Linked DNA regions of Nothobranchius furzeri. The protein of the gene in region 2 purifies or fractionates together with the protein of the main gene of each other region. This does not show direct contact. Links are inferred from orthologs where the notes say so. Each region holds a gene or a part of one and is shown on either strand. Other genes may lie near its edges.

Region 1 (3,751 bases), on a different chromosome or scaffold from region 2:
TCGCTGATTTTAAAAGTTTATGTACCAGAGCTAAAGCTTTTTCTGAGTCTCCGACATAAGAGGAGTACAGGTCAGCCCCGCTGACAGACAGGAAGGCACAGTGGGAGAAGGAGGCGGCAGCTTTCACCAGCGTCGTCTTTGCACATCCTGGCGGTCCATAAAGCAGAACGCCATGGGGCCGACTCAGTCCTAGACGCACAAACGCCTCGGGGTACCTCATGGGCCACTCAATGCTCTTTAAAAGGCAATATGGAGAGGAGGTTTTGAGTGTTATAGTTTCAGTCACCCCCCCCCCCCCCATTTAGCTACCTGTCTTAGTTTGACTTTGACCTGATCCAGGCCTCCTATGTGCTCCCACAACACGGAGGACAGCTCCGTCCGGCCAAGGCTGCTCCTCAAGCTGGAGGGATGCACGGACTTCAGAGCCTCCAGGAAGTGTTTCATCTCCACCTCCTGCTTCCCTGAACCCTGCAGACATAACAACAACAACGAAGCTTAAGATGCATGTAGAGAATTCACAGAAACAGTTCAAATGTCATTGTTCTGCTTCAGTGCCAGTTTACCTTCACTTTTTGCCTTAAAGCGTGCATGGCCGCCTCCCTGCACAGAGCACTCAGGTCGGCCCCAACGTACCCTGTGGTGATTTGTGCAAGTTCTGTCATGTTGAGCCTGGGACACACAGGCATCCTCTCACACAGGACGGTCAGGATGGCCTTTCTCTGCTGCACGGTTGGAGCACCAATAATGACCTGGAGGAGAGACAAACACTCACAGCTCAAAGCTTTATTCTGTTTCTAATTCACTCTGATAAACACATTTAAAAAGTACCTCTCGGTCAAATCTCCCAGGCCTCCGCAGCGCTGGGTCCAAACTGTCAGGGCGATTAGTGGCTCCTACGATGAGGAAGCGGTCAGACCGATTCATCCCATCCATCAGTGTAAGCAGCTGAGCCACCAGCCGGTTCTCTGGTGCAGACGAGCCGGTTCTCCTGGGAAACAACGAGTCCAGCTCATCTAAGAAGAGCACACAGGGACCCTCTTCTGCTGCTGATCGAGCACGCTCAAACACAGCCCGCAGCGTCTCCTCGCTCTCGCCCGGTCGAGATCCTACCACCTGGAAGAACAGTTCACCACCAATAAATCAGATGTAAATGAGAACAGCCATTTCAATCTGCACTAAATAACCTTTCTGCTGGGTTAAACGTTGCTGTTTGTTTTGTCTCTAGTATAAAAGTATAGTATAAAAGTCTGTATAAGCCGTCAACATTAATAGTTTGCGCAACAGAATGGCATCTGAAAAAAATGTATTTGCCTCTTTGACTTTTCTTCTGTCATGTAGCTTTATTTAAATTCTTGACCATTTCAGTAAACTTATATATTTCCTGTGTGTAAAATATGACTTCCTGACAGTGTTTTATTGTTTTGCTACTCATCCATATCAGTGCAAACACACAGTAGTACCTCTGGCCCTCGGACCACCACCAGGCTGGCTCCCACCTCCCCAACCACCTTGTGGACCAACAGGGTTTTGCCGACTCCAGGAGGCCCGATCAGCAGAACGCCCCTGGGGCAGGACACCCCCAGGGAGCTGAGGGTGTTTGGGTACATCAGGGGCAGCTGCAGCATCTCTCTCAGAGAAGCACTCACCTACAAAGGAAAACGGTTTCAGCTTTTATCACTATAATAGTAAGTTATGCTCAAACAGCTGACCTCGTCCAGTCCTCCCAGTGGGGGCGTGTGCTGGTCCAGTAGCTGGCTCTTGTAATGCCTGAGAGTCTGGATCCCGGATATCTCCACAGCTGTTTTTGAGGTAACCATACCTGCACTGTCAGAGTCCGGTCTGATTCCGTCTATAACAACAAACCTGATCTCTGTATCATAGTCCTCCATGTTTACCACATACTGCTTGTGAACATAAACACCCTTCAGCATGTCCTTCACGAGCTCATGAACAACCCAAGCGGGTGTGTGCTTCCTAAAGCCAGCGCTCTGCACCACCACCGTTACCTTAACTCCCCTCAGTTTAGGGCAGGACACAGGTGTGAGATGGCGTGGCTCCAGACTCAGGTGCACGGGAGGCTGAGAGATCAAAGTGGGAGCGATACACTTCAGGTCCATCTGCAGGAACCCCTCCGCCAGGTCCGAACGGGGCCAGGCGGTACAGAGGCAGCTCCCCCCGGGAACAGACACCAGCAGAGGAGAGCCTAGTCTCAGGCTTAGCGCCGACATCAAGCCCGGACCCAGCCGGCACCTCTGAGAGCCCCGGTCAGCGGGGTCCGGCAGCAGAAGCTTCACACGCTGCATCGTCCGCCAACAACATGAAGCGGGTAAAGATTAGAACAAGACTTTGTGGTTTTCAGTAGATTATCCTGTTTACAGCCGCCGTCATTCCTGCTCAGTCTGCATGAAAAACTGAGGAACTGAGTCTGCGCAGTGGAAACGTGGGTTTGAGTCTGCGGCTGCGCAGTAGAGTGAAATAGAAAGTCACGCCCACTGACGTAGACAAGTGTTTATATCGGTTTAGAAACATTTCTATTGTCCAGTCCTCAGGTGCCTCAGGCGTGATGGACTGAGACAGTTTTTGACCGTGTCAGGTGAATTTGGGAATTTATGGACACTATATTTTGTGAAACAAGTTAATAGATTACAACTCTTTTATTTGAATGAAAAGACTGAGGAGCACTCATTTTACACGTGCGTGCCAAATTATCACCAGTGGTGAATGAGATTCTACTGAAGAAACTTTGGTTTTAAAATTAGAGCTGAATAAAGAGACAGGAAATAGAAAATCATTTGAATTCAGTGACGTGCGGTGAGGTTCATGACTGGGGAGGCACCGACTGCTCTCAAGTAAGACTTACATATATGATCCCGAAATAAAAGTTTGTTTGCTTTTGACCTTGACTTAAATATGTTATTGTTTTAAAGCTTCTTGGTTATGATTTAATCAATTTGGCCCCACACGGGCTTCTTTTTAATTCTGTTATTTGTCTGCAGTTGGTGTAGAACTGTTGTTACAAATTCATTTGCCCTAACATTATAATCTAGTCCAGTTTAAAGTGTTTAAATGTTGGAGTTTTAGAGCTGGACAAGTTCAAACGTGGTCAAGATGACAAAAAACTACAGCATATGCGTTTCAATAAACTCATTAGGTAAATGCTTCACAACTCCCAAAGTTACAGGATAATGCAGAATAATCAAGTCCGTTTCTGGTGTTTAACCCTCTGTCGGTGGTGTGACTACTGGTAGCCGTTTTGACAAGTTTTAGTGTTCACCTTTAAATTAAACCATATTTTACTGTTAATGCCTTGTTTGGTATCATTCTTTTCAGCAAAACCTCGTCTATGTGCATTTAGTCATTTCTTCATTTTGTCATACTGTATTAGCTCACTGAACCTGAAAGTAAACAAAATAAAATAAAAATCCGAGTTGAATAAAATGACATATTTATTGCAGTGAAAACGACGAACATTTGTAACGAACCTTTTTCAGCACTCAGAATAAAACTATTGGGTGTGAGTAAAACACAAAAAATGCATGTCTAATATAGCAAACAACAGTTAAGTGCAAGTTTTTTTTGCATACAAATGCAATGTCTCAGGCATTTCTCATGTAAAATTACCGTTTTGCTGAATATATATATATATATATATATATATATATATATATATATATATATATATATATATATATATATATATATATATATATATATATATATGTACATATTTACATACTTACATTTACAAACA
Region 2 (3,651 bases):
CCCTTGCAAGTGCTGTGACTCATCGTCATGCCGACAGAACCCACATCAGACATCTGACTCCCTCTCTGTGGAACTTTGTGCTAAAGTTTGTTTTCAGTTGTTGGAGGATTTTTGGCTGCAGAGTGAGACCTCCTCCTGCAACACAGCATCTCTGCATGGTTGTGGTTTTCAGGACCAGTTCAGACACGGTTCCTCGTGTGGTCCAGATTCCACCTCTGTAAGGCCCTGTAGATCAGATCTACTAAAGCCTGGCCATGGAGGGCCTCTACCTGCATGTGTCAGCTGTTGTCCTGCTCCAACACACCTGAGTTAAGAGTCACTTCTTCAGAGAATGTTTACTAAAACTCTACGTAAGCTAAGCAACAAAAGTACTTATGCAAAGTAATGTTCAGACCTTTAAAACATGCAGTTCCTGCTTTTTGAATCACACTTTTCCTAGAAACGTGCTGACTGGTGGACACGTGCGTGTGAGGATCTACAAGTCTGTTAATGTGGCTAAAAGTAGCTCAAATTCACCATGTCACCATCTTACCAGCTCTAGTTTCCCAATCTCTAAAATGTGCTTACGTAACGCAAGAGTCGTGTTTTTTATTTAAATCACAGAATGCAACTTTCACAGTTTCCAGAACCAATTTTGTTTGTAAAGAAGCTTTATTAACCAGGTGTGTTTACTAACCAGGTGTGTTTACTAACCAGGTGTGTTTATTAACCAGGTGTGTTTACTAACCAGGTGTGTTTATTAACCAGGTGTGTTTACTAACCAGGTGTGTTTATTAACCAGGTGTGTTTACTAACCAGGTGTGTTTATTAACCAGGTGTGTTTACTAACCAGGTGTGTTTATTAACCAGGTGTGTTTACTAACCAGGTGTGTTTATTAACCAGGTGTGTTTATTAACCAGGTGTGTTTACTAACCAGGTGTGTTGGTAAAGGTAAGATAGAAAACATGCAGGTAGCCAACCCTCAGGTCCAGAATTAAATAGCCATGAACTAGACCAGCGGTAGACAACCCTGGTCCTGCTTGCTTTCCAACTATCTTTGTTGTTCCTGCTGTTGTTACCTGGATCAGGTGTGTTCAGCCAATTAGAAGCTGCAAGTTCATGCGTGGCTGGAACACATGCAGCTCTCTAGGACCAGGGTTGCCTATCCCTGAACTAGACTATAGGGGCATTAGAATATAGGGATCACTAGACTGTCGGGGCAACAGAGCAGTGCTCCTCACTCCTGGCCCTGGAGGGCATGTATTCAGCGTGTTCTAGTTGTAGCCCTGCATCAACACACTGGATTTCAACCAGCAGAGCCCGATGAGCTGCTGAACAGGTGCTGAACAGGTCATTCACTGAATAAAGTGTGTTGGAGCAGAGAAACAACTAAAATGTGCTGAATACCAGCCCTCCAGGACCAGGATTGAGAACCACAGCCCAGGACTATAGGATAGTGATCCCCAACTCTTTTCCCCGAGGCCCAGTATCCAGCGTGTTTTAATTGTTTCCCTAATCCAGCACACTTGATTCACCTGTTCAGCAGCCCATCACGCTCTGCCGAAACCTGTTCATTACCTGCTAATTGAAATCAGGTGTGTTGAAGCCGGGAAAACAGTGAAACATGCTGGATGCCGGCCCTCGCAGAAGGGAGTTGGGTATCACTGATGTAGGGGCATTAGATGGTGTTAGATAAAAACTGATATTATTATTATTATTATTATTATTATTGAACTAATGTTAATGTCTTGACTGTTAAACATCTGGTGTTTTATTGAACGTAGCTTCATCCTTTTCATTCTGTCGATGGATACCAGGCTCCAGTAGGTCTTACAGGGAGGAGTGGATTTTACGAGGAGGATGACCTTGCCTCGGCACCGACCTTTCAGTAAAACTCCCTTGAGAAAAGTCTAGCAAGGGCCCTGTCCACATGTAGCCGGGGATCTGCCAAATCGTAGATATTTTTCTACGCTTTGGCCTGTCATCCACACGAAAACGGATCTTTTTCACACGAAAACGGAGTTTTTTAAAAACTCCGGCCAAAGTGAAGATCTGCGTTTTCTCCGTTTTGGGTGTCTGTGTGTGGACGGACAAAACCAGAGTTTTAAGGTCCGCAACGTCACTTTCCGCGACAAAAAACTGCTGACATCACGTGTGCGACCTGTGTTTACACTAGCCGACATCATGGATGCCCTCAGAGCTGCGCTCGCTTTATCAATTGTCCAAGCGCTTTCTGCTTGTTTGTTTTTGCAAGCGGAATTACTGCTCCTTGCGGAAGACCACAGACGAAGGACGAGGTTAAGAACGGGGGAAGTACTGCCGCCTACAGGTCTGGCATGTCCTTAACAACGTATTTATCCGGGTACGTGTGGACAGAGTTTTTGTTTAAACGAGGTGGTGTGGATGCAAGTTTTTGGAGGGGCGGATATTCGTTTTTAACAAACCCGGCTACGTGTGGACTAGGCCTTAGGGTGCACCTGGAGAAAGTTTAGACTCCCTTTTACAGCTTTATGCCTGAGAGTCTAAGGAATGTCAAAATGTGTGTGTGTGTGTGTGTGCTTAATAAATGCTGCCGGAAGCCTGATGAGAGTGAACTGAGACCCGAGCTTGGTGTGTATTCATTTCCTCTCCACTTTGCAAAGTCTAAATTGATTGTTTATGATTGGTATTGGTGTTGATTGATTGATTGATTACTATAACCCCTGTGCTTTAAACTTTCCCTGAGGTAATCTTGGATCAGGGGCGTGTCCAGGGAGTGGCCTGGGGTAGCACATGCCACCCTTGGAATCTGATTGGCCACCCCAGGTGCCACCACACTAATTTACCTTTAAATAGGCTTTTCATTGTCCACAAAGGCTTGGGGGTGAAGCAAAAAAAAAGCATAACCATTGGTGCCACCCATGCACAAAGTTGTGCCTCACCTGGGCCACCCCATTTTAAAAGATCTGGACACGCCACTGTCTTGGATTGATAAAATTACCCAACAGATGGTAGGAGGAAGATGAAACCCAGAGTAACAGTGGTTCATGTTCTCCAGGTGACTGCTGGCTGCTGGCTGCCATCGCTTCTCTGACCTTGAACGAGTTTGTGATGGCCCGAGTCGTTCCCCAGGACCAGAGCTTTGGTCAGAACTACGCAGGAATCTTTCACTTCCAGGTAACGGGTGTTCTAGCACTCATCATTCCTACATGTGACATCAGTCAGTTAATCAAGAACCCCTAACAGATATCATTTAGGTGTTACCAATCATGTGGCCTTTTTGGCATTGGGTGCCTGATCGATGCAGTATTTAACGGTTCTATCTGTAGGACGTGTGTGTGGTGTTTCAGGTTTCTGTCTGTTCGTCTGCAGTTCTGGCAGTTTGGGGAGTGGGTGGACGTGGTAATCGATGACCGTCTGCCGGTCAAAGACGGAGAGTTGTTGTTCGTCCACTCAGCAGAGGGGAGGGAGTTCTGGAGCGCCCTGCTGGAGAAAGCCTACGCTAAGTGAGAACGTCGTGCAGAACCTTCCAACAACTTTACTCCTAACTAGGTTTGGGCTGTGACATGGTGCCATGTGTTTGCAGAGTTAATGGCTGCTATGAGGCGCTGTCCGGCGGTTCCACCACTGAGGGATTTGAGGATTTCACTGGAGGCATTGCTGAGAACTTTGATCTGAGACAACCACCATCA

The links. Proteins that work in one complex are often made in the same cells at the same time.
Region 1: the proteins of calpain-2 catalytic subunit (region 2) and afg2b purify together in Homo sapiens (co-immunoprecipitation; 3 studies listed by BioGRID and IntAct, with this or other methods). This does not show direct contact. The link is inferred for Nothobranchius furzeri from reciprocal best matches to the Homo sapiens genes CAPN2 and AFG2B.

Annotation. Positions count from the first base shown.
Region 1 is NC_091749.1:43,208,187-43,211,937, reverse strand, and holds the start of afg2b (ATPase family gene 2 protein homolog B), read right to left. Parts: upstream 2,440-3,751; 5' UTR 2,304-2,439; coding exon 1,710-2,303; intron 1,647-1,709; coding exon 1,461-1,646; intron 1,114-1,460; coding exon 829-1,113; intron 750-828; coding exon 564-749; intron 469-563; coding exon 310-468; intron 236-309; coding exon 26-235; intron 1-25. UniProt on the Homo sapiens protein: ATP-dependent chaperone part of the 55LCC heterohexameric ATPase complex which is chromatin-associated and promotes replisome proteostasis to maintain replication fork progression and genome stability.
Region 2 is NC_091746.1:29,426,356-29,430,006, forward strand, and holds part of calpain-2 catalytic subunit, read left to right. Parts: intron 1-3,017; coding exon 3,018-3,136; intron 3,137-3,331; coding exon 3,332-3,465; intron 3,466-3,545; coding exon 3,546-3,651. UniProt on the Homo sapiens protein: Calcium-regulated non-lysosomal thiol-protease which catalyzes limited proteolysis of substrates involved in cytoskeletal remodeling and signal transduction. Proteolytically cleaves MYOC at 'Arg-226'.